Linked DNA regions of Alligator mississippiensis. The protein of the gene in region 2 purifies or fractionates together with the protein of the main gene of each other region. This does not show direct contact. Links are inferred from orthologs where the notes say so. Each region holds a gene or a part of one and is shown on either strand. Other genes may lie near its edges.

Region 1 (15,064 bases), on a different chromosome or scaffold from region 2:
CATCCCAGTAAAGTCAAGAATGAGTCTATAAATGTGGGGAGAGGGGGAACAGGGGATTTATGCTATGCCTTAAGCTTGCAAAATATGTACCATAAAATCTCTTTCAAGAAAACACCCTTGATGGTAGCATGGGTGCATTTAACTAAATTTATGTGCAGCCAATAGAACTAAATGAACATGTATCATTATGGCTATGCCCATGGTCACAGCCTTTTCCCTATCAGTCTGAGCAGTTTCTACAAGTAGCAAGCCACTCCCAATTCTACTATGGCCAAACTTCAAGCTTAGAAAACATAATAAAATGTAGATAGCTGCACTAGACACAAGAAAGGATGCCACTATGGAGAAAAGGTGGTAAACTAAATAGAATTATTAACCAACGGTAGTTTCAAATCTCAGCATTCATTCTTTTTTTTTTTTTTCCTATTTATTTCCTGAGTAGGCTTTTAGTAGGCTAGAGCAATGCTCCCGTATAGGTATGTTCTCTTAATGTTCCATACACATTATTTCCTCTTTTTTGCATCTTTGTCATGCCATCCACTTCATTTTGAACCCATATGCCATTTTATTTTACACACTATTACACAATGCTTAAAAGCAGTCACGAATGTAGAAGAGATCCAAGACGCACTGAATATGCCAGTGTAACAATGAACTGTATATTCTACGACACTACGTCAGTAAGCATTTATGAACTAAAGGACACCCATCAGATTCATACAACAACTGAAGCAGTGTTTAGCAGGAAAGGGATGGAAGGAAAAAGGTACTGCATTTGATCTTCAAAGAATGTCCTCAGGTCTTAACCTTGACACAGCCGAAACTGAGCCATCTTACTGAAGTAAACTGGAAAGATGACCAAAAAACCTCAAGTGGTACATTTGCAACATTTATTTAACAATCCTGCTCAAGAGGTACAATTGACACTAAAATACGCAAAAGGATGTACGCGAAGTTCAGTTCAGTTTTTGAAAATCAGCTGAGCCACTTCTGACAACACAAATGCTAGCTGTCCACCGAGTTGCAAGACAACGTAGCAGTGATCATCTTTCCCACTAAATGCATTATCATTACTCTAAACCAGTGTTTCTCAACTTGTGGGTCACGACCGAAAAGTGGGTCACAAGAATATATGAAAGGGTCATGAATGACTTTAAAAATGGATCAACCAACTTATAAAATGGATTCTTCTTTAAAGGAGAAAAGTGTGGGAAACGGTGGCTTTTCCCTTGCAGGCTGGCAGAGTTACAGCCTTCAAGGGACTGCTTGGGCCCCCCACATGCATGCCTCACACCTACCCTCCTACCCCACACACTTGGGGACTGGGGCCTGGGTGGAGGCAGAGGGTCAGGAGTGAGAGAGAGTGGGCTGGGACTCGCCATTGATGTTTACAAATGGGTCCTAGTACAAAAAAAGGTGAGAACCACTGCTCTAGACCAGGGCTGTCCAACTTAAAAGCAGACGAAGGCTACGCATTGCACAGCTTACACAAGACTCACCAAGCTCCCATGGGCAGTGCCACCCCACCATCAGGGGCAGAGGCAGGAAGCAGAAATCACAGGAAGAAGGGGAAGGCTGGAGACCCCAGCAGCAGTAAACAGCCAGGAAGAAGCCTGAGGGCTGCAAGTTAAACCCCACATAGGCTTCAAGTTGAACAACCCTATCTTGGACCTTAGAGCATCCATCTAAAAGGACTCTGGCTCAAACACACACATTTAGAAAATTAAAACAGTCAGGCAAGCAAATGTTCTGGATATCTGGAATATAGTAAAGGTCTGAATGCATCATAACCTTTGCTCTTGTGTGTGGCTACAACCCAAATGAACAAGCCAATACCTAAAGGATTCAGTCTTCCTTTCTGCTTACTCTACATGCTGATTCACCCCACACCCCATCTGAATTCTAGCCTTTATCCCACCCTTCTCACTTTTGCAAATACTCTCTCATGCTGTCCTCTAACGTGTCTCCCAAATTTCTTGCTCACCTCCCTTAAGTTTATCACAATCCTTCATCACTCAACTTTTTCCAATCTAAATGGTCCATCTTATTCATGTTCTTTCCAACTTCTTCTTTTCCCCTTTCTTGGCAAAAATCACAGCAATCTTGTTTTTTATACTGAGCCCTGTCCTTCCCAGCCTCCGTAGCTGCACTCTTCGTACCTCCTGCCTCAAAACTTTCTAATCTTGCAACTTCCAACCACTGTCTCCAGATACTCCCTCCATCTAGGAAGTGCCCTCAATCCATCTCTTTTCCATATATGGAGCTGTCTAGTATTCCTCAGGTTGACCCAATAGCTGGTTCTTTCATCTTTTCATCCCACCCCTCTATGCCATTTCAATCCTCATATTACTGACCTCTCCAGTTCTGCTGAGGTAATGACTGTAGGTTATGAGAAGTAATTGGCAAAACTAGTACATTTTTACCCTGCTGACTGCATGCTCACTAGTCTACACTAAGCCACAACCTATTAGTCCTGTTAGTTTCTTCACCTGCTTACAGATTTAAGAATCGCTGCCAAGATTTTTAACAGACGTTTGGTTAAGACAGTGCCTCCTTGTTTGTTTCAGATCTAGTTAAGGCCATTATCCATATTTTTCATCTCCTCAAAATGGACTCTACTACACTCTAAACAGAATCATAATTCAAAACCATTTTGAAAACTTAAGCTGGTGCAAAATGCAGCTCCTCACCTGATAAGCAGTACTTGGCAGAGACAAAACATTACAACAATGCTTCAAGTTCTACATGAGTAAACCTCTAAATGCTTTGAGACGACAGCCACCTCCCATTACTATCAAATTATCGGGACACTTCAGCTAACATTCACATGGCTTGCTAGAGAAACTGCTGCTGCCCAAGTACTCTCTGATTCTGGAGACTGTTTACCCGATTCTGCAATCTGCTTGCCTTCTGGATTTGAGGGCATTCAGTGCTTATCATAAGGCTTTTCCAGGAGTAAAGGGACAGTTTTTTTGACAAGAGTATAAACCACAGTTCTTCACCCAAACATTTAAACTCTGGGCATGTTCTATTAGGTAGACAGTAAAGGTAACTGATAAGGAAGGAGATATTTCATAAACATACTCTTAAATTATAAGTTCAAGCTGAGTGTACATAGATGCTTTTCAAAAACTTAAACAGCTTTTGCTCCTCCTAGTCCTTGGCCTTCCATAAGCCTTTCACTCTACTCCCGAAGCACAGCACGCACTAGGTTGAATTTAGGCTGAAAGCTTGTCAGGGCAGTGACCTGCATTCGTAAAAATATTATGAACACAAGTGTGTTATAGAAATATTTATGATAACAAACTCAACATGTGCAAATCTTTAAACATGCTTGGCTCCCTGCCTCAATAAACAAGTCTGGTAAGTGTCTGGATAGATCCACAGCCTGAAAACAAAGATTTACATTTCCACTCTAGGAAAAGGATATCGATTTCATATTAAACAGATAGCATGTTCCTCACTTTTGCATCTTTCATAACACGCTAATGCAAACTGTAAGCTGCCAATAAATTTTTTGCTACTGATTAAGGAGTCTTTTAGCAGAATGAATGCAGTGGATGAATGAAACTTTAAAAAAAAAATACAATACATGAATTGTCAGCAATAATCCCAATCACCACCACCCCCTGCCGCCAAAACAAACACACTTTTTCTGGCTGAAAAGATGAAACCGTACGTTACTGCCCATTTAGAGTTCAGCTTCTAGTTCTCAGCTTAAATACCATTTATCACAAATGACACACAAAACAATCATTATCTTAGAGTGAAGTCCATGGATGAATTTGAATCAAGAAGAACAGAAAAGTTAAGGTTACCTAACTTTGTACAGTGTCATTCAAAAATGCTATTTTGCTGTTCTTGTAAAAGTTAGGAAGTGTACAAGGCTTTTGGGCTATTCTACTCAGGGTTTCCATCAGTTGGGAATTGCTTCCTTACTATTTATTTCCTAGACATTTGTCTTGTGCATACAAGACATTTTACCAAAACTGAGCAATATATACTTTAAAATAACAACAATCATGTTAAACTCATTTTCATAGAAGATATGACACACAGGCTGCAGTTTAGAAACACATTAAGTCTTCCAAGCCTTACATCTCCAGAAAATATTTCCTTTGGCCAATGTACTTCATCATGTCTATATCAGAGGCTATTCACTCTTACTCACCACTGCCACCACCATCACCAATGAAATCCTCAAAATACTTTTACTACATTGGAACTACAGCCCTTAGCAAAGGTTAAAGAGAAAAAAAAGTTGAGAGAGAAAAAACATACAAAAGTAAAACAAGGTATCTAAAACCCAAGCCTACGACCCACATTTAACGTGACTACAAATTCGAGATTTTACTTAAATCTCACCTTTAAGTATAGAACAATATTTTTCCCACTAGTGATTTTTTTAAATAAATGCAAATTATCAAACTTAGGGACAAATGAGAGATAGCAACATGTTAATTGCATGAGAGTTTCTATATTATATCCTGCTTGTCAGTTTAAGTATTCAGCATTCCCTTCCAGTTGTTACTAATAAGTTTATTCATTGGTAAAAATTTCACCCATAATTATTTTTCCCCACTCTTGCAGGAAAGGTACAGCAAGTAAAATGTTATTTACTATACCAGAGGGGCACAAAAAAGAGCCTGCACTTAGAACCTCAATGCTCATAGCTTATTTTACTTAAAAATAATTGCAAAATGCAAAAAGTAGCAAAATAAATCTTGTGTTTTAAAATGATCTCCATTTGAAAGATTCTTTCTAACAGCTGACAGTTTTAGTACAAAGGCAAGTTTTTTTCTCTCTTGGCCACATTTCTTTTTTGTCAATAGTACTTTCATTTGTGTTTACTTTACAGTAAACAGCATTTCACCCAGTCTTAAGTCTAACATCCCATGGAAATGTTTACAAAGTAAAAACATTGTCAAGTAGCTAAAGAAATGTCACATCTTGGTTTATGAAGTCTGTATCAACTGAATATAGTATTTAGCTCACAGTGATGCAAGTTTGTTTTAACAAAGGCCTTCAACAGCATTAAAAACATGACTACCAACTACATTTTTACTAAGCAATTTTCTGTGAAAATGGTTATACATCTCATTAATTTGATTCACTATATGTTATTTATGAACTTTTATTAAAATAGCAGCTCTGACAAGCTTGATGATCAGTACCACATGAGCTCTGCAAGTGCTACAAACTTATATATACACATTAGCTGAAGTAACTGTACTTTTTTATATTCCAGTTGTGCAACACAAAGCAGCTTTGATACTCATTCCTATACAAAAAAATCTTCTAGAGTATTTTTCTAAAAGTCCCATTAAACTTGTTTATCCATTCCATTTTTCAGGAATTAGGGAGTATAACAATTGTGTCATTTAAAATGTATTCTTTGCTTTTGTTAGTTAGCAATGTAGTAAAGAAACAGATAAGCTATTAATACAACTAAAGAACAGACTGTCAAAGGAACAACCTAGATACGCAAAACAACTCTACCTAGTACCTTAAATTCCATTTAGGCAGCACTAACATCATATGTAATCATCCATTACTCAAAGCAAAGTAGCCAGCAAAATTATGCTTACACACTTCAGATTTGTAATGCTATTTTGGTTTTATACCTACAAAAACAACTAATTCCTTAACTAGATGGCCCTTCTAACAGATTCCTTCATAGATATCACTGACTCTTGTTACAATCCATTAGCATGAGTGATTCTGATGTCACCAACATTAAAATGTGGGATCACTGGATCGACAGTGATCACGGAATCATTAAGACCAGCTGTATCCAGAAACCTTAGTGATCAGCATCCACAGGTTAAAGAAATGCAGAAAGAGCACCTGATAATAAAATGAGAGAGAGAGACATTCTTGAATGTTTGCTTCTTAGTAGAAGAACAAGGTGGTATAACACTCAGCCATGACAGAATTTTTAAAGAAAGTTCACAAGTTCCCCAAACCAGTCTGCTCAGACTACACAGCTACCAGCATGTAGAGCTGCTTAAAACATTCAGATGCATTTTATCTTATGCCAATACAGTACCCAGCACTTTCAGTGTTCACTAGGAGTGTGCACTGACATCTCCCTTTCTAATTGTGCCACCACGTCATTCTTTTTAAAAGAAAATACAAACACAAAGCAGTACATAGAAAACGTGTGTCTAGAACACTCTTATTATTCTTCCCGTTATTAGCTTCGAATACTCAATGGTGCCTTTAAATTAGCTTGCTCTACACTGAACACAGCACCAGAGATGTTAATCCCTTCCCTTCTACTTCCCCACAGCAACCCTGCAGACCTCATTTTCAAAGCATAAATATTTAGCCTCATGCCACAACTACAGCACGAATTTGGCTGAGTTGCAGGGAACAAGACACTTGCTGCCCTGAACCAGCTCCTTGGTGCTGCTGCAAAAACACAAGTTCACTTAGCTGCCACTGGACGTTCCCCGTGTGGGCGACACAGAACAAGGGAGCGGCAGGGAAAGGGGCTTCTGGAACAAATAGGGGACAAGTTCCAGGTCTGAATATTAAGGATGGTTCCCAGCCCCTAAGGAAGGCGGTGTTACCATGACCAAGCTGCGGGGGAGGCCCCCACCCGCCTCCTCCTCCATCTGTGATCAGAAAGTGGCAGCCCCGGCCTGCTACACAGCCGGTGTCCCCCCGGTGCGGGGCGGACGGGACCGACGGGAGGCCGCACCTGGGCACAGCCCGCCGACAAGCCCGAGCCGCCACTCGGCGCCACCCGTTATCGCTCGCGGGGCCGGGTGCGAGGCGCCAGAGGCGGGAGCCGCAGCCGCCTGAGGCCGAGCGGCTTCTGGAGGCGCCCGGAGAAGCCCACGCGGGGCGCGGGGCCCGGGCTCCTCCCCGCCGGCAGGGCTCGCCCCGCCTCGGCCCCTTGCGCGAGGCCCCGCGAGTGTCACTTTCGCCCCGCCCCGCCGCGGGCTTTTGTCCCAGCCCCTCCCCCACGCGCCGCGCGGCCTAGCGCCGCTCCGCTCCGCTCCGCTCCCACTGCGGCAGCGCCCGCGGCTCGGGCCGTCCGTCTGGGGGGATGGATGGGGGGGCGGACCGGGCTGGGTTGGACCGGGCGGCGGGGGGAGGGGCGGCCACTCACCATCAACTCGATGGTCTTGTCCTCGATCACCGAGTCGGGCTCCATAGCGGCGGCGGGGGCGGCGGCCCCGCGCGGGCGGCTCCTCGCTCCCCCTCCCCGCGCCCGCCCGCCCCGCAGCGCAGAACCGAACCCGCGAGCGCTCCGACCTCGGCCGCCGCCGGCTGCTCCCTCCCCCCGCCCGCCGGACGCACGCACGTACGTACGTCTGCACGCACGCTGCAACCGCCGCGGCGTAACGCGCCCCGCTCCCGGAACCGGAAGCACCGCCCCCCTCCCCCAGCGAGGGGAGGGGCGCAGACTACGGCTCCCGCCAGGCTCCGCGGCGCCCTCCCGCGGCAAAAGCGGAGTGGCCTACAGCTCCCGGCATACAGCGCGCGCCAAAGAGGCGAGTGGGTTGCAGCGCATGCTGGGACCTGCAGTCTTGGGGCGGGTGGGACGCGCCTGCGCTCCCCGGGTCGAGGCGGCCGCAGACCTGTGCCGCGCTCACAATAGCCGCGGTCTCGGACCCCCGTGCAGAGCGCCGCGCCGAGCCGAGCCGAGCCGGACGCGGCCCTGGGGACGCTCAGTCCGTGCCGCGGGCGGGGCAGGCGCTGGGGAAATCCCGCTCCCCCCGGCCCGGCGCCGCGATCACAGGACAAGACGTGAAACTCTTTGCTCAGCGCTTTGTGTCCCTCGTGCACCCGGGCCCCTCCTCGAGCCGGGCCCTGCGCCCGTAACACGAACACCTCCTCCTGGGGGCCCGGACTGCCCGCAAGGAGAGAGGCGGAGGCGGCCGCGTCCAGCTGCCCCTTAGGCCCTTGCTGGGGAAGTGAAAGGAAGAGCGCCTGGAGGGGCACCAGCTTGTTGGCTCTGGATTTAGGACCCAGTTTTCTCCAATACTCTCTTCTCGGACTGGTCTCATCCCCTCCAGTCTAACACCTCCTCGGCACTTTTGGACAGGTATAGAGCCATAGAGAACGAGGGTTGGAAGGAAGCAGTCCACGTGCCTGCTCAAAGGAGGACCATCCCCACTATATCCCAGCCAACACATTTTCTAGCCAGCAGATAAGTGGAACAGCGAAATTAGCTTATTCACTGATAGATGTCATAGGGAGGCCATTTTATTTTCGTGTAGCTCAATAGTCCAGTACTTTGGTCATAACTGATTTATATGGGCAGTTGGTCTAATTCCTCATTTCCCTGTTACACATTTGGAGTGGAAGGTGCAGGTTAGGTTGTCTGCCAGAAAGCAACTTGATCCCAGCTGTAACACACCCATATGGCAAGGAAGTATGCAAGTGCCATTTTTGCCCATTTTAAACCCCTTTGCACTACCTGGGTTGTGTAAAGGCATAACTGTAAATGTAACTCAGAACCAGGCCACAGTTTCTCTAGCACATTGATGTTTGAGAACCACTGGGAAAAAAGAAAATTCATTTGACACAAGAAGTAAAACACCAGGTAGTGTGTGTATATATGTCAAAGCTATACAGTAACAATCTTTGTTTTTAGGTAATCGTATCACAAAATTAATTCATATAACAGATGCCCCAAAAAATACTACTTTTACCTTTCTAGCACCTTAATATTCTCATCCTAGTAGTGCAGATACCAGTTCTATTCAAGATCGTTAGTTGAGACAATACAACAGACAATACAACATACCAATATATTTGGACAGTGTTTTGTTTAGAAATAGAGGGTTTTTTTCTCCATAGTTTAATCTGTGAAAAAAGTGAAGGAATATTACTTATCATTGTTTACAGTCCTCCCTCGAAAACCAATTTCATTTTTTAGATTATAGTGGGTTTCAAGTTCTTACTGTTGTAATTTTGGGATTCCAAACACTACAGGGGAAATGTCTTTTTAAATAATTATCTTCCATTATTAACTTGCACCACATAAAGTAACTAATGTGTAGGGGAAAAGGAGTGGTTCAGCAGAAATGCTGAAACCTATTGGTAGGGCCCCATCAAATTCATAGTGCAAGTGGGCTCCGCTGCAGCTCCTGTAACCTTGCAGGTTCCCCTGTGTGCCCCTCCCAGCCACCACCCACCATGGGTTGCTGGAGGGGCCTTGCTTGCAGCTCACTCCTGACTGATAGAGAGGTGAAAACTGCAGCTTTAAATATGGTGCTATTTTTGCCTCCTGTCGCTGATTGCGCCAAGTAAGACTTGGACTACCATGAAATGTCAGGTCTTGAAGACAAATCTTGTCTAAGTGAAGCAGTACATAACATACTGACTATTGGTCACATGTATCAGTACCGTCTAAGTGGTGTAATCACACTTTGTTAAGGATGCATCTCAGACTGTATATTACTAGCATCCCAACAGTATTCTCCTCTGGCGGATGGGATTGCACCGTGTACTTTAGGAATAAGGAGATCTAAAATCTATTCCTATTGCTACTTTCAAATTCTGAGCAGTATTCTGACAGTTCCTAAGATCTATGGGACCAGAGATATGTTACAATATTATTATTCACCAAGTGCTGCCTGTGTTCAGCATTTGAAAAACAGTCCTAGTCACAGGAAACTTTCAATCTAACGTTAAATATAGACTTACAGAGACTAACATAAAAAACTCTAAAAAGATGAGGAGCAATACCATGGAACAAACCACACTGGAAAACACTGAAATGCTTGACAGTGTAAGAGTATCACATAAGCATTACTGAAATGAATGCAATCTGCATTCCTAGCTGTGAGCTGCTTTTTCAAACATTTACAAAATTCCTCAGTGCCTGCATCCCATTCCGAGGCAGCCAGCCTGCTGGCAGAGAACAGGAATCCTCTTCCTCTACGGACGGCATCGTAGTGGTACAGAGTGACAGATTCAGTTTGAACATCTGCAGACTTTGTAGAAAAACTATTGGAGCAACAGTACATTAATAAGTCTGGAGACAAGAACCAGTAATGATTAAATCTCAGGTGCTTTGGCAAGGGTTATCAAGGTCACATGGACTGCAATCTGATGATGCAGCAGGGACTGAGTGAATTAGTCAGCACTGAAAATCAGAGACAAAAATGTCATAAACAGAAGTCTGCTGTAATGGCACAGCATTAATGATACTGTCCTCATGGTGAAAAGGGGACTTAGAGTGAAAATTAGTAAGTACTTTTCCAACAGTTAGATTTGAGGATGAAATTTTTGTCTCCTGACCACCTAATTAGAATTGGTCCAGATATAGCTCACGAACAAGTGAAAATACGATATAGAGTCGTCTTTTCCTTTTGATGCTGCAACCTGCTTCAGTGCTCACTGGGATCAATGGAATTTTATTTATTTAGGCTCATAAAAATGCTAATTAGAGCACCTATTAATGCACTCAGAATATCTTTAAGAGAGTGTCCCAAGTCCAGCAAATATCACTTCCTTTCAAACAATTCCCTTGCTTACAATTATACTCCCCTTCCTTTCCCCTCCCCCCACCCCCATTTTAAATATCTGTGTCAAAAGAGGGACCTTGTTATTAGGACTGTGCTAAATTTCAACAGGTGCTTCATTTCAAAGCTGTTTCAATACATTTTGAGCTAGAAACAGTGAAATTTAAACTAAATGAGGCTTCAAAACAATTTCAAAATTAAAGGAGGGCACGTGAAATGTTTCAAAAGTTTCAAAATGTTTTGAGTTTTGAAGCCAGACTTGCTTGGAGCTAGACACTAACTAAGGAGAGGGAGGGGAAAAGGACTGCTCTGATACTGACATCTAGTTCCCGGTTCGATTTCCAAGCTCCCAGTTTGATTCCCCCACTCTCTGATCACATCCCCCAGCTCTCTGATCATTTCCCCGGGTCTTCCTGGGGGGCGCAGCCCCCTGATCTGTGTGTAGGGTTTCAGCAGGCTGCTGCTGCAGGCTGAGGCCAGCAGTAGCGCTGCAGTCTTTCTGGTGCTCAGCGCAGACTGGGGAATCAAACTGGAGCCTGGGAAATTGACAGGGAGCTGGGAGAATGCTCTCGGTTTGATTTCCCCAGTTCCCCAATCTTTTCCACAGCTCTCTGATCGCTTCCCGCAGCTCTTCCTGTGGGGCATGAGGCCCTGGATGATGTGGGTTGACAGCAGGCTGCTGCTGCCAGGTGGTGATGGCAGCAGCTCTGGGCTATTTCCCCAGCTGGCAGCAGCAGCCTGCTGAAACCCCTGTGCACAGATCCAGGAGGGGCTGCGTCCCCCAGGAAGAGCTGGGGGAATGATCAGCAAGGATCCTGGTTTTCTGTTTCTCATGGAAAAACAGAGAAAACCATGGATTTCCCCTTTTTATCAGAGAAAACACAGATTTCTCCTTTTAGCAGAAAAGCCTGCAGATTCCTTGCTTTTGCAAAGAGCTCTGCAGGCTGGTTGAGCTCCAGTCTGCAAAATCTGTTTGCAAACAGGACGAGAAACCCCTAGCCCTGCCTGGAGGGGGAGGGGGAGGGGGAAAGGGAAGGGCAGGGCCTGAGACTCTGTCAGCCATGGCTGCGCTCAGTTCAGCTTCACTCTTAGCTCCTGGAGCCTGAGGTAATTGGGACTTACAGGAAGCCAGGGGCCCCTCTGGCAGGGCTGGGGGGTTGCAGGTCATGGCTGGCGGGGGCACTGGCAGGGCTGGGGGGAGCTAGCCCCAGCCCCGCCTGAGCAGGCAGCAGCAGTGGGGGAGCCAGCTCAGGGCTGCTTCTGCTGCAGCTGCCTGCTGTTGGGGGCAGGGAGCTGCCCTGGCAGCTGGGGGCCCCCTCCAGCAGGGCTGAGGGGTGGGGGCAGTGAGGGGCACCAGCAGGGCTGGGGGTCTTTGAGAGCAGTGAAATGCACCATCAGGGCTGGGAGAAGCATTGGGGGGTGATTGAGGAGCATCAGTGGGTGGGGGGGGTAGCTGCAGGGGACTTTTAATTTTAATAATGGATTTGGGGAGTTTTATCAGAGAATTTGTGATTTTTTTGTCAGAGAATTTGTGTTTTTTTATCAGAGGAAACCAGGATCCCTGATGATCAGAGAGCTGGGGATCGAACTGGGAGCTTTGGCTGACATGTGGAGCTGCCCCAGCTTCCAGGCAGCGCACAGCACCCTGCCGAGCTGTACTGCACATGTGAGATTGTACAGCTGCTGCATGGGTGCCAGGCGGGGAGGGTGTGACCCTGGCTGCCCCCCATTGCTCTGTGCTGCTTAGAGGGGCTCTGCCACAAACCCTCAGAGGCCCCCATCACAGCTGCCAGAGTTGGTGAGTGCGGGGCCTTTATTTTTTTTTCAAAGCTACATACACTGGCTGTGGAGCATGTGGATGCCAACATGCTGCCGCTGCTGGCTGGGACCAGCACCCAAGTCTGCCTGGTGCAGCCTGCGCCAGAAAGAACCCAGTGTTGGCACTGGCCCCAGCCAGCAGTGGCAGTCTGCTGTCATCCTGCACAGATCCAGGGGGCACGGTCCCCCCAGGAGGGCTGCAGGGCTGTGCCAGACTCCTCCCAGGAGGAGCGGGCCCCTGGATCTGCGTGCAGGATGACAGCAGGCTGCCACTGCCAGCAAGTGATACTAGCTTTGCTTTGAACAGTTTGAGGTGTGGTTTCACAAAAAACCCTGCACCTATCTCCTTGAAACTTGGCAGTCTTCATGCCCTCAGAAGGAGCTACCATCCCTGCAATTTCCATCTAAGTCTGGCAAGAAATGATAAAGCTATAGGCATTTTTGTGATTCCCCATTATAGCCTATGGGCGAAACATCGAAACACGTCAAAGCAGCATTGAAACAGCAAAGCAGTTTCGACAAAACAAAGTGGAACAGTGCTTCAAAACAGCAGAACGAAACACTGTCCCTTCAAAACAGCAAAATGGAAGTTGAAACGAAACAGTGCTGTTTTGCACAGCCCTACTTGTTATGTGTCCTGAAGGTCCTCATATTAGTATTATTTTAAACCAAGCTGAGAACTTGGTCCAAAAGGGTCTAACCTGACAACATGTAGCCAACAGCCCCTTTTCATTTATACTGACAAGTCTTGAGCACATCTGTTAATACAACCTGTGGCACAATAAATGCAGAGTGACCATATATGCTCAGTTTACAAGGGGAAATATGTGTTTTTTTCCCCTTAACCGCAGAGCAGGAAACTGCTTGGGACTTGCCAGCCAGGCTAAACTATTGCCTTCTCACAGGGTGTGTCTACATGTGCAATTAGTGCTTTATGGTTTTACTGCGCAGTTTTTTACTGCAGAGTAAAGCTTCCTTGGGCAGGCATCTACATGTGCGGCTATTTGGGAGCAGATTTGCTCCTCAAGGCACTAGGCTGCTCCCAGCCTCCTCCTGCCCTGCACTGTCCCCCTGCAGCAGCCAGGAGGCACTGGAGGCGTCAGCCACAGCTACCTGAGGCCAGGCACCCTCTCTAAATGTCAGCCCTGTGCGCTGCTTCGTGGCCACCTGCAATTCTGTCCCAGAGCAGGCTGCAGCATGCTGGCACAGGCCTCCAACCCTGTCACCAGAGCCTGTGCTCACTGCATGATGGCTGCTCCACCCCCAGGCCCCAAGAGTGATGATCCATGCCCCAGGCTCCTGCTTGCCACCCTGCTTGCTGCACTTTGCCACCGAGGCAACCACTGCCTGGCCGAGGTCAGTCTTGGCCCTGCCTGCCCTCCCCTGTGTTGCACAGCCTCATGGCCAGACTTACCACAGCATCTGAGACCTCCTGCCACTGCACTGCTGCTGCCCAGCCCCTGAACTGCTACTCAGACCCCAGCAGGGATGCTGATGACATTGCCATGAACGCCTCAACCAGTGCCATCCATGAACTGGGGCTTCAGACCCGTCACCTGTAGGCCCACCTGACCAGCCAGGACTGGTGGCTGCATGTTGTCCAGACCACCTGGGATGATTAGCAGTGGTTGGAGTCCTTTTGCATGACCCAGGCCACCTTCCAGGAGCTCCTCAACCAGCTCTGCCTGCAACTGGAGCAGCAGGCCACTATCATGAGGCTGCTCCTCCCTGCAGAGACCCAGCTGGCCATCACCATGTTCAAGCTGGCCACAGTCACCAGCCTGTACTATGTCAGCCACATCTTCAGTGTGGGCAAGGCAACTGCCAGAGAGGCCATCCTGGGGGCATGCAGTGACTGGATGCACGATCCCTTGGAGGTGGTGGTGGGGTTCCATGCCCTGGGCTTCCCCCAGTGCATCAGAGTCCTGGACAGGACCCACGTCCCCCTCACCTGCCTGCCCCGTAGTGTCTGGCCCTACTACAGCCGTTGGGGCTTCCACTCCATCCTGCTCCAGGTTGTCATCAACTACCATGGCAGGCAGCGTCAACAATGCCCACATCTTCTGCAACTCTGCCCTGCCATCCCTAGTGAAGAGTGGGCACTTCACACCGGGGTGCTGGACCTCTGGTTGGGCAAGTTGGTGGTCCTGCCCCTTCTTATGCGGGACCCTGCCTATCCATTCCTCCCCTGGGTCATGTGGCCCTACACCAACCAGTTGGACCCCTGCCAGGCACCCTTCAACAGGTGCCTGGGATGGACCTGCATACTGGTGGAATGTGCCTATGGCTGCCTGAAAGGACACTGGTGCATCCTCACAGCCTGCCTGGAGGTTATGGAAGCCAACATCCCCTGGGTCATCATCACAGCCTGTGTGCTGCATGACATCTGTGAGGCCTGCAGGGAGCTCTTCCTTGAGGCCTGGGCGGAGGACAGCTGGCACCAGAAGTGACAGCTATGGCAGCAGTGATGGACCCCCCCACACCAAGGCCCCAGGTCAGCCACAGACCTGGCAGCGGGGACCAGGGCACCATGTACGAGAGGCACTGGTGAACCACCTGCCCCTGCACTCCCTGCTGTAGACCACCTGGGCAGCCAGCTTCAAACCCCAACCCCATCATGCACTTTCAGCACTATGCTCACTGTGGACAGTTTTCTGAAAAGCACTTTATTCCCCTCCACAAACACAAACCCCTTCCCCTCTCCCTCCACAACAGACCCCCATCTCCCCCCCCCTTTCCAAACCATAGAGCCCCTTCCC
Region 2 (15,748 bases):
GGCAGGGTGCAGGCATGTGACTGCATTTCCAGAATCAAAAGTGAAAGTCTGTTCACTTGCTTATCGGCTCAATGTACACAGCTTAGACTAACCTGTGAAGATTGAATTAATTCAGCCTTGGGTTTCTTGACTGTACTTAGCCAAACACACACAGTCCAGTTTAAATGTGGTTTAAATCTGAAACTGACAGACAGAACCTCTACATTTCATATTTGCGGTATAAGTAACATGTTAATTGGGATATAAATGGCAAGGGTGCACCCAACTTAAGACACCATGAAATGACAAATATAATAGTGAACATATTATTCAGAAGATTTTTATGACTGGTTTGTATGGCAACTTAACCTAAACATGAAGCATGTCCAAGGCTACCTCAGGGCCAAGCTTTCAATCAGCCGATTGCTGGTCCTGACTCCAAGACACCCGTGGTCTCTAACTGCTCCATGTACTCCTAGGGCTGGACTGGAGTCTCAAACCAGCCCTCCATAGACTTGGGGCTGGGGCTGACAATTAGCTGATTGTAAGGCCTGGCCTCAGGACCACACCAGGGTCTTGAACTGACCCTTTGTAGTCCCAGGTCCAGGGCCAAGTATCAACATTTGATTGTTGACCCTGGCCCATGCCAGGTCATTCAAGGCTGTGAGTGCTCAGCTTTCAAACTGCCAGTGCAGAGTGAGCCTGAGATCCTGAGGCTGGTCTACAACTGCACTGGCAACTAGAGAGGGTGTGATCTAGATCTTATCCCTGACCCCAAAATTGCACCTCCTGCCATGCATGAGGCATGGCAGGAGGCGCAACTGTTGGGATGGGGGATCAGATCCCATGGCACTTTTAAACAAACAAGCCAGGGGCCAGATATACAAGCCTATTAAACTGTTTTAAAGGTGCCTGTAACCGTTCAAAAGTGCAGCTGGAAAATCAAGTACTATTTTAAACCACTTAAGAGTTATGGGTGGATACCAGGCCATCCGTGGCACTGGTCTGGTTGGTCCTCCAGGCATCTCACACTGTATGGCTCTTTTCCCCACCACTGCTGCAACTGGCCATTCTGGTATGCAGCCAAAACTCTACTGCCCCCTTTGTTGGCCCTTTTCATCAATAAGCCCCCTTGCACTGCTTGTTCAGTAAAGGGTATGTAACAGCCAGCTGTGTCCTTCACTTTCTGCTAGACTGTGTACCCTTATCAGGCGCCTCCAGCTAATGGGAAGCCAAAAACATGGGTCCAAGATTCTCTCATCCCCATCTCAAGTCAGAAAAAGCACACTGTAGACTTTGGTCAATGGCAGGCTACTAAAGTGTACTGAACTTCTGTTTAGGAGAAGGGAAAGCATAAAAGCAAAGATGTGCCAATCACAGATCACCCACCCCTGAAGCATGGGTGCAAGCATTCCCTCCCCAGCCCCTACCTTGCCCATTATGAAACATACTGAGCTAGGTGCTCATTCCCAACCCCTGTTGGCAGTTACAGCACTTCACACACAAAACTGGGAGCTGGTTCTGAATTGGTGACATTTGGGAATGGTTCAATTGTTGCATGCGTCTGCAGACTAACCCTTGTTTTAATTTAAACCTCTTCCCAAGCAACATAGTAGTTTTTCAATGTAATTTGGTAAGGCATTAAATTAAACTTAACACTGGAATAAGAGAGGCCACAGAGTAGATTACACCAATACAGCTATTGTTTAAATCCACATCTCAGGTTATGTTGCTTTTCTTAAGGCCTTAATTTCTCTGGCATTTTTAAGATTGCTTACCTTTTCTCCAAAAGGATACTGAATTCTTTCCTAATCTTGCAGACTTTGGATCTTCATAGACATATTTCACAAAAAGTTTTCTAATATTTTACAAGCCTATCTTCATATTAGCAGTTTCTTCTGGAGCCACATCACTGCCCAGAAAGCGCAACCCTCTGTCTTCCACTCTCAGCAAGTCGCTACTGAACTCTGTAGACAGGCACATTAATCTCTTATAGGTAAAATATTTTTCCTCTGTTCTACACAAAAGGGAAGGGATCCGTTCATGTGGAAGGTTCCTTCCATGAACTCATCTAACTTGAATTATGAGGACCTTTGATTTTTCACTCCCTTCCCACCTTCAGAAAGGAAGAATCCATGCAGACTGAAATGTTAAAAAAGATCCCACTAAAGTTGCTTCACATTCATTTATTCACCTTTAAGTGTGAAACGTATCCATACACTACATCATGATGATCCGAGTCAAACACAGATCTCTGAACTCATAAGCAGTAATCCTATTAACAGGTATTTTGATAGCCATATAAACTGGCACAGCTAGAAAGTTTCTTTTATGAGCTTTCAACAGCTAATTTTAAGGTAATATATAGAGTAATCACAAGACACCAGAGAAGATGAGAATCGTTTTCTCTTTGTTGTATTAAACCCTATTACCATTTTCTGGAGATAATTACATGTGCCAACGGAGAAAGATAGGTACGCATTTAATTTGTATATAAAGCTTTGGTATTTTATTACTGAAAAGTGTAAAAAAACCCAAACCCCAAAATTAAATCAAGGTTTCAGAATTCTCACCCACCGTAACAAATTGGGAAAAGGAGTACCATATTGTTTGGTTAGACCTAGCATACACTTAGTCATAACAAGAACTATATACCCTGTATGATATCAAAGCCAGAAAGATGGTGGCCACAAGGGAAGAATGGAAAAAACTTGCTGTTTTTCCCACTACCATAGAGAACTCCCTAGGAGAAATGTCACAAGTAATGCATATGCATAAAACTTATATGAATTTATCACAAAAACTCTAAATAATAAGGCTTTTCATAACCTAAACTATCCTGGTTTGATTTGGCATATCACTTTCAGACCAGAAAATTATCAATAAATCCCTTTCCTTTATGAACATTATAATAGTTCTGCTGCTGGCAGTCATACGACTATGTTGCAAACATACTACTAACAAATAACAATCACAAAGCAAAAGTAGCAAACTAAACGATATTTCATTTGTAAATTAACTGAGCATAGTAAAAATGTTGCACAAAGCAAAGTGGAGTATTTTATTTACATTTTTAAAAACCCCTGGACACCTATAACACTAAAATGTTTGCACCAGATTTTCTCTTTATATTAGAACAGCCTTATTCTCAACTCCAGCAAGATCAAAAGTCTACAAAGCAAAGACCTGCAGATCTGCTATGTCAGACATGCAAATCATCACACGCATATATTAGAGTATCAGACATACTCTCAGAATTCTGGCTTTTACTTATACACAGCCCTCTAATGAATAAGCTTCAGGGTCAAATGTGATCACAAACTACCCAGTATTTTATACAAATTCAGCAGCTGACTTATCATAAGCAAATTAAATATGCAGCAATATTTGACATCAGAAGCCAGTCTTTCATCTTTCCACAAGACAGTGCAGAGTCTGGTCATGATTTGCTTTCCAGACAGCAGCTTTTACTATCACTCAGGAAAATATTTCTGACTTACTTAAGTAAGTGGTAGCTTAAAAGTTGCCATCTGGAAAACAACTCACAAATAGACTGCATGGTCTTTCAAAAAAGATGAAAGACTGGCTTCCGGTTACAGACAGCATGGACTGGCAATGTTAAGCTGGACCACGCTCAGTTTTGGAAAAAGATCTGGTCTTAAGCCACTCAGTGGCAATGCTCTGGTGATTAATTAGAGGTAATACATGACACCAAAAATCATCCCTATATGCCACTGTTCAGAAGGCAGTCAACCACAATTCTGTACCACAAGAGAAGGAAGGGGGAGAGAGAACAAGACATAAGTTTGTTTTTCGTTTTTTCAACCACTTCATAGAATTCCCCTAGAAAAAAGTAATGAAAAGCTTATATCCATATGATGTTAATTATTTATAACAGTTGTGCATTCATCAATAATGCTATACTGTTACTATGTACTAATATTTTTGCAACACACAATAAATGGTGTCTGACAATTTCCTAGGCCTAAGTCATGGTGTCAAACACATGGCTCACAGGCCAAATCCAGCCCACAGAACTGCTCCATCCGGCAGGCTGCTAGAAGCTGCAGGCCAGGGCTAGCGAGGCATGGGCTACCACAGAATTTGGGGTCCCTAGAAACCAATGGACATGGTCATCGGCAGCCAGGGGCTAGCAAGGCTGTGCAGATACAGACGTAATTCACCTGCTGCAGTCTGACCCCCACCACCAGATCCATGCCACTCCCTGACCCATGCCACTGTGACTGGACACAGCCCAGTGACACCTCAGGTCTATAAAGATGCCAGTTTTAACTTGCATTTGAAGTAGCTTCAACCAAAACAGCTAAACCAAGGTTCTTTGGCTGTATTAACATAACGGGGAGCTGGCAGCTGGGACATCCAGACATTATAATAATTAAAGAGATGCCAAATGCAAGCAGGTACAGCTTGTCTGTCTCTAGAATCAGATGTGACCCAATCCGAAGCAGGGAATTATAAGTAAATTCTCTGCTGTGTTTTACGGCAACATCAAGTTCTATGCCACAAACAACAAACGCCTAGAATATTTTTTTTAGACGTGTATGTCCCAATCAGCCACTTCACCTATTTTAGCTGCCCAAGCTCCGTAAGTTAACAAAGACAACGTTTCATAGATGACTGTGAGTAGCACCCAGACACAGGTACTTCACCCGCAACAGTAGGCTGCTTGGACTACACAGGCAGTTACATGCCTGATGTACACAGGAATTACAAGATCCGTGTGTAAATTAGAGAAGGACACCGGCTGCTGTGGTTTCCTTACTTTACTCATGGCAAGTTAGGGCATTATGTCTATGTTGCGTCAGGGATGAGGGTAAGAGTTTAGATTACGGTTGTGTGGGGTGGTTCGGATTAGAAGGTCCCTTTCAGCCTGACTTCTCTATGACTAAGTACAATGTCAGGAACCACCTCTGAAAAATTGGCTTAAGGGCTCATAAAGTAAAGCCACGCGTATTGTTATATATAAACAAAAAGCCACGTTATGAGACAAAAACACTCGCATTTTGTTTAGCTGGGGGGTGGGAGACTCTACACCAGTGCTTCCCAAATTTTTCCCCAGACTCCATTTAGGGTCCCATTTCCTCAGCGTGGCCCCTCACTCCCAGTCCACAACCCTTCATCCCCACAACCCCACCGGCTGATGCTGCGACCCTGTTTAGGGTCACGACCCACAGTTGGGCAACCGCTGCTCTCCACTGTTCAGAAACAAACCCTCCCAGGCAATACAGGTTCAACCTCCTGCATGGCCTCACACTTTCCAGTCAGCTGCAGCCGGGAGGGGATACAACGGGCCTCAAGGGGGCTACCCACGGTCGCCACAGTTGCTTTCATGGAAAAGAAGTGTGAACGAAGTAGGTGATGCGCGGGGCCCCCGCCAGGCGCCCGAAGTGAGCAGTGTGTGCAGGCAGCGTGCCACAGGCAAGTGCTGCGCAAAGCCCAGTCAGTCCCAGAGCTGCGCCTTAACCCCAACGCCACGGCAGAGACCAGCCGGGGGCTCCTCAAACCGCAGGGGCATGGGGCTCTGCCCTGGGCTAGATACTGGGGGTGGAAACGCAAGACCACAGCACTGGACACCTCCCAGCTTGGCTCAGCACTGGACACCTCCCAGCTTGGCTCAGGGGCAGGAGGCAGAGCAAAGCAGAGCGCCCCTCGCCCAGGAGCCCCAGAGACGGTGGGCAAGGCGAGGGGAGCCTGACCAGGGCCCCATGCTGGGCAGAGCCCCTGGCGGAGGCTGTGATGGGCCGACACCCCCCGCATGGCCCCTCCCGCCTACGTCAAAACCCCCAACGGACAGCGCCATCGGGGAGCGCAGGGGTCCCCGGGCCGCCACCCGGATGGAACAGGCCGGGAGGGGGAGAAGGAGGGAGCCCTGCACCGCACACGCGGGGGGGGGGGAGCATCGGAGCCCGACCCCCGCGCGCGAAAACGAGGCTGCGGGGCAGTCCCCGGCGGAGCTGAGCGGCGCTGTCGCCCCGCAACTCACCTCGTGCCGGGCCAGCGCCAGGCTGGCGGGAGAACGGGGGCAACGGCTGCCGCGACAAGACCAGCGGTTAGTGGCGGCAGCGGCGGCGGAATGGAGCGTTGCCCGGCAGCCGGGGGGGGGCGGGGCGGGGCGGGGCGAGGCGAGGCGGCGCGGGCGCGCGTGCGCACTGAACCGGGGGCCACACGTGACCCCTGCCCCGCAGACGAGCTCACAGCGCCTGGGGCAACCGGGCCACGCGCCGGGCGCCGGCGGCAGTAGCCGGGCTTAGGGGGGAGTGTGCGTGTGCTCTCGTGACCGCTGCACACGTGTTCGCGTGCGCTCAGCCGGGGGCGGGGCGTGCACCTCTGTCTCCCGCTGCGTCGGGCTGGGGGCTGCCCCTGGGGGATCTTGCTGGCTGCTGCTTGCACGTGCCTGCTGCACACCGGGGGGCGCGTGCGTGCGTGGCCGTGCGCACATGGGGGGGCGAGTGTGTGCACGGCTGTGGGGGTAGTGAGTGTGTGTGTGCATGTGCCTGGGGGTGTGTAGAACCTGTGCTGTATGCGTGTGTGTGCAACCACAAGAGATGTGCAGGGACTGGTGCTTGGTTTCCGCTGCCAGGCAACCCAGCTCGGGGGAGGTGGGACAGCCCTATGGGCTGGGCTAGGAGCCAGCCCCACTTTGTGGGAAGCCTGGGGACAAACCGGTGCCCTGCTGCCCCCCGGCTGCCCGCAGATACCTGGGCTGAGGTGGTGCGCTCTGTGCGGCATGAAATCTGCTGGGAGAACCAGCACTTAGTTTCTCTTCCTTGCCAGCACTTAGTTTCTCCTTCCTCTCCCCAAGTCTACCCTGGATTCCCCTTCCCATCGCCAGAAGCAGGCACTGACAGAAGAGGCTTGTGACTCACTGTCATGTGCTGGTGGGGGATTAATGTGTTGTAACCCTGACCTGGTTCACCTTGTGGCAGGGAAACCAGGCCGGTTCTCCCAGTGACACACAGAAAAAACAAGGCCATTTCTCCCAGTGACACACTGAAAGCAAGGCGGGTTCTCCCAGTGACGCGCTGCCTGCCTCGGAGACTTCTCCCCACCTTGCTCGCCCTCCCAGCTCCTGAGACTGCCCTCAACCACTGCGTTTATGCTGCCATGGGCAGGCTCATACTTAATTCCCTTTCAGAAGATCACCCAATGCAGAGACTTTCCCAGAGCTGTTGTTTCAGACTTAAGCCAGTGCCACTGCATGCATTACAGTTGTTTTACTTATTATTGCAACTCAAGGGAGCTAGAAATAGGATTGGGGTTTTTTCCCCCCATTAGAAGTTAGATTTTAAAGCAGCTGGGCATGCCAGACTTGATACATGAGGGCAGCCACATGTTTCACACCATTGCTTCAGAGTCCAGTGGGACTGGTTTAATTATTCATTATCCATTATTTCTAGCAGGGTAGCACCTGGGGAAAGGCTCGGGGATGTTGTGGTAGGCGCTGTACATGCGCACAAAATAGGCTTTAAAACTGAGGCCTCTCTGAAGATGGCAACCCTCTGAAAACAAGAAGCTACCTTTACAGAAGACATTTCATTTCACACAGGTTTTCCTATCACTCGGGATCTCTGTTTTCCGGCTGAAATGAAAGGGGTGGTTTACTAGTTGAAATGAAGTAGTATCTGCCACTAAATATTTTCTGTTGGCTAAGCAGCTGGTCAGTTGCTGGATTTAGTTTAATGTTATAATAGGATAAGATTGACTTTTGAGGACACAGTGATATATTTAACCGCTTCTTCCATTTTTCACTAATAAACCTCTCTGGTGCTGAAAAGAAGTTTGTTCTCATTTGAAAAAGCACTGTCTGCTGAAAGCAACAAATAAGACATCACGGGCTTAGGAAGAAAATATCTGTTGTAGGGACAGTTTTTAATATGCTTATGCTCACAAAGTCTAAATTGAAGTCCATGAATTGAAGAGTTTATAAACCTGACTAAGGGAAAAAGGAAAACTAGGTCTGAAGAGGTGATGTGGCTTATCCAAGATTTCAATCCAAGTTACTGACACAGTTGGCAATACAGCTCAGGCCTCCTAAGTTCCAGCCTAGTGTTCAGTCAACTAGACTATTCCACCCTTTTTATAATAATGTGTTTATTTTACTTTTTTATTACAATAAATAATCATATTTTTATTTAAAACGTAGGTTTTAGCCCATTTGGGACAAAGGCCATGCTTATGCTTTCCTGAGTTTTTCAATTTACAACCCAACATTGTTCAGTTTACATAATATTCAACATAACAGAACAATCATAAATTGAAAATGATATGTTAGTTTGCTGATAGATGGGTAAACAAAGCCTTGCTATGGTGGAAAAGCATATGCTCCTTGTATCTTGGCACATAAAACTTCTTGCATATCTTTAGTACATGCCCATGTCCCACAGAGATGTGTTTTGCTCTGTACATATTGTGCTACATGAGTTCCTATTCTTTTTCCTGCAGCAGCCACACTTCTGGCAGAGCCTTACTGCTATATATTTAAATATCTGTAGAGCTCAGAACTCCAGTCATTAAATGCCATGCAACTTGTAGTTTGGGAAGTGCTGCCTAAGAGTGAAATCAACACATCTTTCATTATTTGTAAATATTACGTTTTATTAAAAAAAAAAAACAAAACCTTTGTATATTGGACAAATTTATTCCTTGCATGAAATGCATACACAATTTTTGGTGGAAAAAAAGGGGTTTTGGCAGTTAGAAACACACACACACACACACTGAATTGCAGGGGTTTTGTAAACATATATATATTATTAAATGACAGGTCAAATGCCAAGCCTGCTCATCTTGATATTGCTGGTTTCACAATAGAAATTCTGAATGAATGTTGGGAAATTTTATGGAGCAAATTCATGCATATATGCATCTCTTACTCAGCTCAGTGCAATTAATGTTCCCCTGTTTGGTACTGCATGGATATTCCTGTCTCAGCTGTTACAGTAGTCCAAAGGCATCACTCATTTGAATAGAATGGCATAATGATAATAGTCCAACTATATTTGCATAATATGTTTCCTGAACATAAGGTACCTGGAAATACCATTAAGCTTGAAAGATTTCAAATGCATTCAGAATCGTTATAAATCATTTCAGGTTTCCCTCCACGCTTTCTTGTGCTCCTTATTTGTTGTCTTATCTCAGTTTAGACCTTGTGAGAATAAATTTGTTAAAAATTGTCCTTACAACAGATATTTTCTTCCTATGCCCATGATTTGTTGCTTTCAGCAGACAGTGCTTTTCAAAATGACAGCAATCTCCTTTTCAGCACCAGAGAGCTTTATCGCTGAGAAATAGAAGAGGGGGTTAAATATATCACTGTGTCCTCAAAAGTCAATCTTAAAATAGATCCTATTATGACATTAAAGTAAATCCAGCAAATGACCAGCTGCTTAGCCAACAGATAATTTTTTAGTGGCAGGTAGTATTTCATTTCAATTAGTAAGCCACCCCTTTCATTTCAGCCAGAGAAAAGAAGTTCCTAGAGCTAGGAAAATTCATGTGAAACACAACATCTTCTGTACAGGTTTCCTTGTCTTCTTAGAGAGTTGCCATCTTCAGAGAGCCCTCGGTTTTTGTCTCCTACATCCTCACCTGCTCTTCCCCCTCCCCCTCACCTTCTTCCATAACATTTTAAAACTAAACTATAAAAATGGTAAATTGTATTCTTTTCACACATTTGGCATATTTATTTATTCTCTGATTAGACAACATTCCATGTAGGCTGACATGAACCAAATTACCCTTTCAGTTTTTATATGCAATTATATTCTTGTTTGTGTGAGTCTATATGTCACCCTACAACAATGTAGCAACACACTATGTCACCATATAGTATGCTACGGTGATGTAGCGATCACATGGGTCTACACATGATCTCCAGCTACGTTGCCATAATGGTACACTTCCCTGGTGTAGTGCGCTGCTATGGCGACAGTGGCGAAATCTAGCCATGTACCAGGCACACAGCTCAGTTACCTCCCATACTGGAAGTACTAAAGCATGGCGCTGTAGCAATGTTGCCATATGGCAACGTGTAGATGTGCCCTTTGAGATGTAACCTGTGACACCATCTGGTCATCTGGACCTTTTAACTACCCTAATAAAAAAATCCAGAGGCCTCATCATGGTCTTTATTCAGCGCAAAGCATATTCCTTGCCCCTGATCAGTATTCAGATTATATGATCATTCCTCCATTTCTTTCACAGCGCAAGCCACATCTGCTAGTGAGTGGATACCTTGAGATGTCCCACTCACAGTCATAAAGACCAGCTCCCCTCATCTATATATAAGCAGTAGGGCTGTGCGAAATTTCGGCAGCCGTTTCATTTTGGAGGTGTTTTGGGCTGTTTTGGCACCCGAAACACCGAATCCGAAGCAAAATGGAAGGCTCTGAAACATCTCCGAAATGAAATGAAGCATCTGAAACATTTTGAAAATGTTTTGGACAGTTTTGGAGTTTCAGAGCCAGGCTTACAGGGAAATAGCTGTACGCTGTTGCCCTGCCATGCAACTTGGCTCTGCAGGGAGCAGAAATCCAGGGCAGTGTAGGGTCAGCAGCGGTGCCAAGGAGACCCCCAGTGCAGATCTCTGTTCCTGCAGAGCCAGGTCGTGCAGCAGGGCAGTGCTGGTCCCTGCTGCATGACCTGGTTCCTTAGAGAGCAGAGATCCAGGGCAACGTGGGGTGGGCAGCGGAAGCGAGAAAATCCCTGGCGTGGATCTCTGCTCCCTGCGGAGCCAGGTCATGCAGCAGGGACCAGCAGGCTTGCTCACCACTCTGTGCTGCTTCCCTGCCCCATGACCTGGCGTGACAGGGATGGGAGATCTGTGCCGGGGTCTCCTCACCTGCACAGAGGGCAGGGGCACTCTCCCAGATGAACCACCCGTAGCCCCAGCTTGCTCCCTGCTGGGGCCCCAAGCCCCTGACCTCAAGCCCCGCCCAGCTGGGCAGTAGGGCTGTGCAAAGCTTACAGCCTGTTCGAAAGAGCTTCAGAGGAGATTTGGCCAAAACGAAACAGGACAGTGATCCGAAATGAATTACTGTCCTCCGAAACAGCCGAATCCAAAACTGAATTGAAACACTGCCATTTTGCACAGCCCTAAGTTAAGCAGGTGGCAAAGTGCTGTTCAAAATTGTGTTTATGGAGTACCTGTGCTAAAACTTGCAGCAGTTCCAAAAAAGGTAACGTATCAATTTTGGATGAATTAAGTAGGTGCTATATGCAAATTGCTATAGCCATGTTTAATTTCAAGATAATTGTTTTCAAATTTGCTCCTTATTTCTGTGTGTTCAGGGAGAACAGGGTCTGACAGTAAAGAAAAAGGGAAGGAGCTGCCAGGGCAAAATATTGTGGGGAAGCAGCTAAGAGTCTACTTGATCCCCCAAGATTTATTTTCTCTGCTATAGCAGTGGGAGGGTGACAACTTCAAGGCAAACCTCCAAAAATTATATCTGGAAAATTATAACAAACTAGTCAATTGCCTGTCAAGAATGATGGGTGGGGGTGGGGGTGTGTGCGGGTGGGGATAGAGGCCTGTGTCCAGCCCCCTACCCTCCCAACCTTTGGGGCCAGGCCTACTCCCCCTTTTCCACCCTCTGCTGCAGGCTGGGCCCACCCTGCCCCCACCACTCTGCCCCCTGACTCCCCACCCTCTCTGCCACTGTTTTGGGGCTGGGCTGAGCCCTGTGCATGCCCTCCCCATTGCAGGGACAGGCCCATATCCCCTCCCATCCATCCGGCCCATGTCCTCCTGCCTCCTCTTCCCATGAATGTCGTGGGGGGGGTGTGGATGGAGCACCACCACCCAGCACCCCATGCCACCGCTGCATCCAGGGAGCGGGGGTAGGCCAGTGCTGATGGCCTTCTACCCTGCTCTGTCCACTCTATTGCTGCTGCCTGCTTCTTTCCCTCTGTCCCTGCCATCACAACAGCATCTGGGCCTGCTCCTCCCCCACGTCGTGGCAGGCCCGGGCCTGGGCCCATTCCTCCCCTCCCCTGCACCGCCATTGTGAGTCCAACCATGTTCCCCACCCCACTCATGCTGCCACTGCTGCCTCCGCCATGGAGTGGGGGGGGCAAGGCCAGCTGTGCTGGCCTCAGCCCCCCGTCCCCTCTGTCCCTGCTGCCATGGCATCACAGCACTGCCACCACCTGCAATCTGAACGCTCTTGGAGCACTCCGATTGGCTGCCGAGACAGCCAATCAGAGTGTGAATAAAGCATTACGGAAAGACAGGCAGGCTAAGGCTGTGTGTAGATGAAACGAGGGGCATACACGCATGACACTTTAAAGTGGGCTAAATGCTTTTGCACCACTTTAATGGTGTCAGCCTTCGCACGCCTCGGCCGAGTATTGTGCATTAATTCCAGCTGCTGTAGGAAATTCGGCAGCATAATGCACCTTAAATGACTTGGGGCACAGCAAACTAAAACTCCTCAGACATTATGAGGGGTTTTAGTTTGCTGTGTGTACAGCCACGGAGCGAAGCACTGAGCTCTGTGCATTGCAAAATCAAGCCCCACATGAGCAATATTCCTTCACTCCTGACAATTATTAGCAAGCATTGTACACACTACTGCCTGATAATATGTAAGGCAGATCATCTGATAAGAGGACAAAGTCCTGATTCTTCTTGAAATCACTAGCCATTATTTTCCTCAACAACAGGTGCCTTCTAGCTAGAACTTTCCATTGTGGCTAGGCTGAAGAGGGCAGGCAAACATTTTCTATAGCTTTCTCCCCTTCCCCTGCTCCAGGTTTCCCCAGTTCTGCTTTTATGAATAGAGTTATAAGCAAGTACTTTTGCCAGGTACGTTGGGATTTTAAATGGGTCTCATTCTGATGGTGTTAGCATGAGTAGACAAACTCTAAGAAGATAGGAGAAGAGAAGAGAATGAGGAAGAGGAGACAGACTGGCACACAGAAAGGGTTAGAGTAAGGGTGCTTGTACACGTTATTAAGTGGCCTAGTTTACACCACAACATTTTCTCAATAGAACTTAAGTTGTGCTGGTAAAATTTTGAGCGTAGACAGATTCAAAATTTCTCTAAGATGGCAGAATTCTCCTGCTTGCTGCCAAGGTTAAACATTTCCCCTAACAAAGTAATGTTTCATGTAGACATGATTTTCAATCAAGGTGCCGTGGCCCCCAGGCTGCTATGCAATGTTAGCTGTGCTTACATGATTTACAAGATAAACCCAGAGTTTTCAAATAGGAATCCATAGTGTTAAAAGCATTCTGACTTGTTTGGGTCTTTCTGAATTGCAACAGGAATTCCTTTTTTTTTTTTTTGGGTAATCAAATATCAAGTGAAAACTAAGAACTGGCATTTTCCAAAGGGAGCCTGGCATGTAGTAAGGCATGCTTTAAGTCTAAAAAGGCTGAGAACCACTGATGTGATACACCCATGCTTTCCACTTGCTGTAAGTCCTTTCAGCAGCTGTTGCCTTCTCAGGGTGCACTTTGTAGCCTGGCAGCACAGCTGCTGAGGGAAGCTGCCAAAAGCACATAGTCATCCTGATTACTCTCTTGAGCCCGGGGGGGGGGGGGGGGGTGGCTGCTCTCTACTGTATGAATGTCTACTGCCAGAGGCAGGTAAGAGTTGACATCAGAAAAGAGGCCCTTAAACATAATGAGCAGTTGAGGGAGACAACTTAGACAACATGTCAACAAAGGAAAGTGGTCCATTTTAATGTCTCTCTCCACTTTCATTTCTCCCTGACCGTCTCCCACACTCATTTTCTCTTAATTTTTCTTTTTTATTCAGGTTCCTATACAGATGAAATCAATTATTCCTTGTACATTTTAATTTTCATGTGATCTGCTGCTCTTTGCTCTTCTCCCAATAACACTTTGCTTCAGTTCTTACAAATTGTTGTTCTGTCTTCAGGACAATGGAATCTGTTGTGTGTAAAGATTTGTTCTTCCATTCCAGCAAGCAGAAACATAGATTGACTGGAATATTATTATTAATGTGTTCAGTTTATGGCTATTGTTAGGGGAGTCAGGCTGAATATCTAACATGGTCATTATTTTAATTTGCAACCAGATGATGCAAATAAAATAGCTTTGTGTACTGTAGCATTGGGTTTTAGCAGCCTGAGTCTACAGACAGATCGTTTTCAATGATTAGGCAATAAATCTTGAACTCACCCCTACAAGAAGTCAAGAGCAACAAGAACCACAGATATACAGACTTGTTTTTTCACAACAGCACAGAAATCATTATACTCACTTATAGCTAATAAGAACAGAGATCAGACCCTTCTGCCTAAGTCAAAAGGAAAAATTTTTTCACAACTCTTCTTTCCCCATCTTTAAAATGCATACTTTATAATTTTGGGAGATAAATAACAGACTCATGCATGTGATCCTTCATTCACACTTTTTGTATGTGAACTATTCTGTGTTTATGTTGTTGAACCTAGGTGTCACACCATCAGGAGATGAGTTTACAATAGGATTATAAACTTAAGTATGAAGAATAGTATTTGCAGGAATGGGATATTTAGGTGATGAAAGGAGGTCATTACCCAAAAGCAGTACTCCAGATAAGCACTGTAATGACCAGGATGTTTGTTTAAAATGTAGTTACAAATATCTTGGCATATATAATAGAAGTGTCTATCATTTTAGAAATGCATCACATTCTGTCATTATGTAATGGAGTGAGAACAAAAGAACAACATTTTGTTGTATGTCACAAGAATGGAACCTATAAGCATCTCTTTAAAAGATTAGGGTCCAAGAAAACTTTTTATTCAATTTTATTGTTAAATGACAACACTCAGCAGTTCTTTTATTACAGTATTGTTAAAAGTATTTTTTCATGCACTTGTGAATGACACTAACTTATATAATTAAAATTAGAATTTTAAAGGCTTTACTTAGTTACCATGCACTAACTGTTTGTATTTTGTTTACTTTATGTAATAACACTTGAGCGGCTAGTGAGCAGTTCCTAACAGAACAAATATGTTGGTTTCCAGTTCTTTAAGACAATAAACTGAAAAAACAAACTAAGCAATACTCTAATGTAAGTTCACTGATATAAAATTCTTTCCACAAGTTTTGATGATAACAGAAGCAAAAATCTATTAATTTTTTTTTTTTTACAATACCTGCAGCCCCAGTTCTTTTCCAGCAGAGTTCTGTTACAGACCCTAGTGGGAGCAGAACTGGTTCCTAAATGTGAAGTTTTGTGAGCATTTTAGAATGTTCTTTCAGATTGGTTCTTTCAGACCCTGGTTTAAAGTCCCATTAAAGTCCATTAAAAGATGTCTATTAATGCCAATTGAGTAGGAGCTCAATCCACCACTCAATGGCAAAACCCTGCATTATATCATTTATATAACAATACAGGTGTCCATGTTCTATAAAACTAATTTCCTTGTAGAGGAGCTATAGAAGATGATTGATTTTTACAAGGGGTTTGCAGGATTCAAGCAACTGCTATGACAAAGAAATGGTTAAGAAGCATACAAAGCAGGCAGCAGATGCCAACTTCCGTATATTAGTGATATTTTGAAAGGACAGCGTTTCTCAAACTGCTGCTTTCTCACTAAGTGATGTAGTCATCATTTCTCCTGTAGAGTATTAATCATTTCCTGCTACACTCAAGCACTAATACATGTCTACCAGTATATATATTATTTGGGTTACCACTAAAACCAATTCTTATAGAGACAAATCACTCCTGTGTTTCTCTGTGAAACCTGTTGTAAAATTACAGGTTGTATTTGTTAGGCT

The links.
Region 1: the proteins of LPIN2 (region 2) and FBXW11 purify together in Homo sapiens (affinity purification with mass spectrometry; 4 studies listed by BioGRID and IntAct, with this or other methods). This does not show direct contact. The link is inferred for Alligator mississippiensis from reciprocal best matches to the Homo sapiens genes LPIN2 and FBXW11.

Annotation. Positions count from the first base shown.
Region 1 is NC_081832.1:46,597,084-46,612,147, reverse strand, and holds the start of FBXW11 (F-box/WD repeat-containing protein 11), read right to left. Parts: upstream 7,266-15,064; 5' UTR 7,166-7,265; coding exon 7,121-7,165; intron 1-7,120.
Region 2 is NC_081826.1:90,814,075-90,829,822, forward strand, and holds the start of LPIN2 (phosphatidate phosphatase LPIN2), read right to left. Parts: upstream 6,101-15,748; 5' UTR 5,984-6,100; intron 1-5,983. UniProt on the Homo sapiens protein: Acts as a magnesium-dependent phosphatidate phosphatase enzyme which catalyzes the conversion of phosphatidic acid to diacylglycerol during triglyceride, phosphatidylcholine and phosphatidylethanolamine biosynthesis in the endoplasmic reticulum membrane.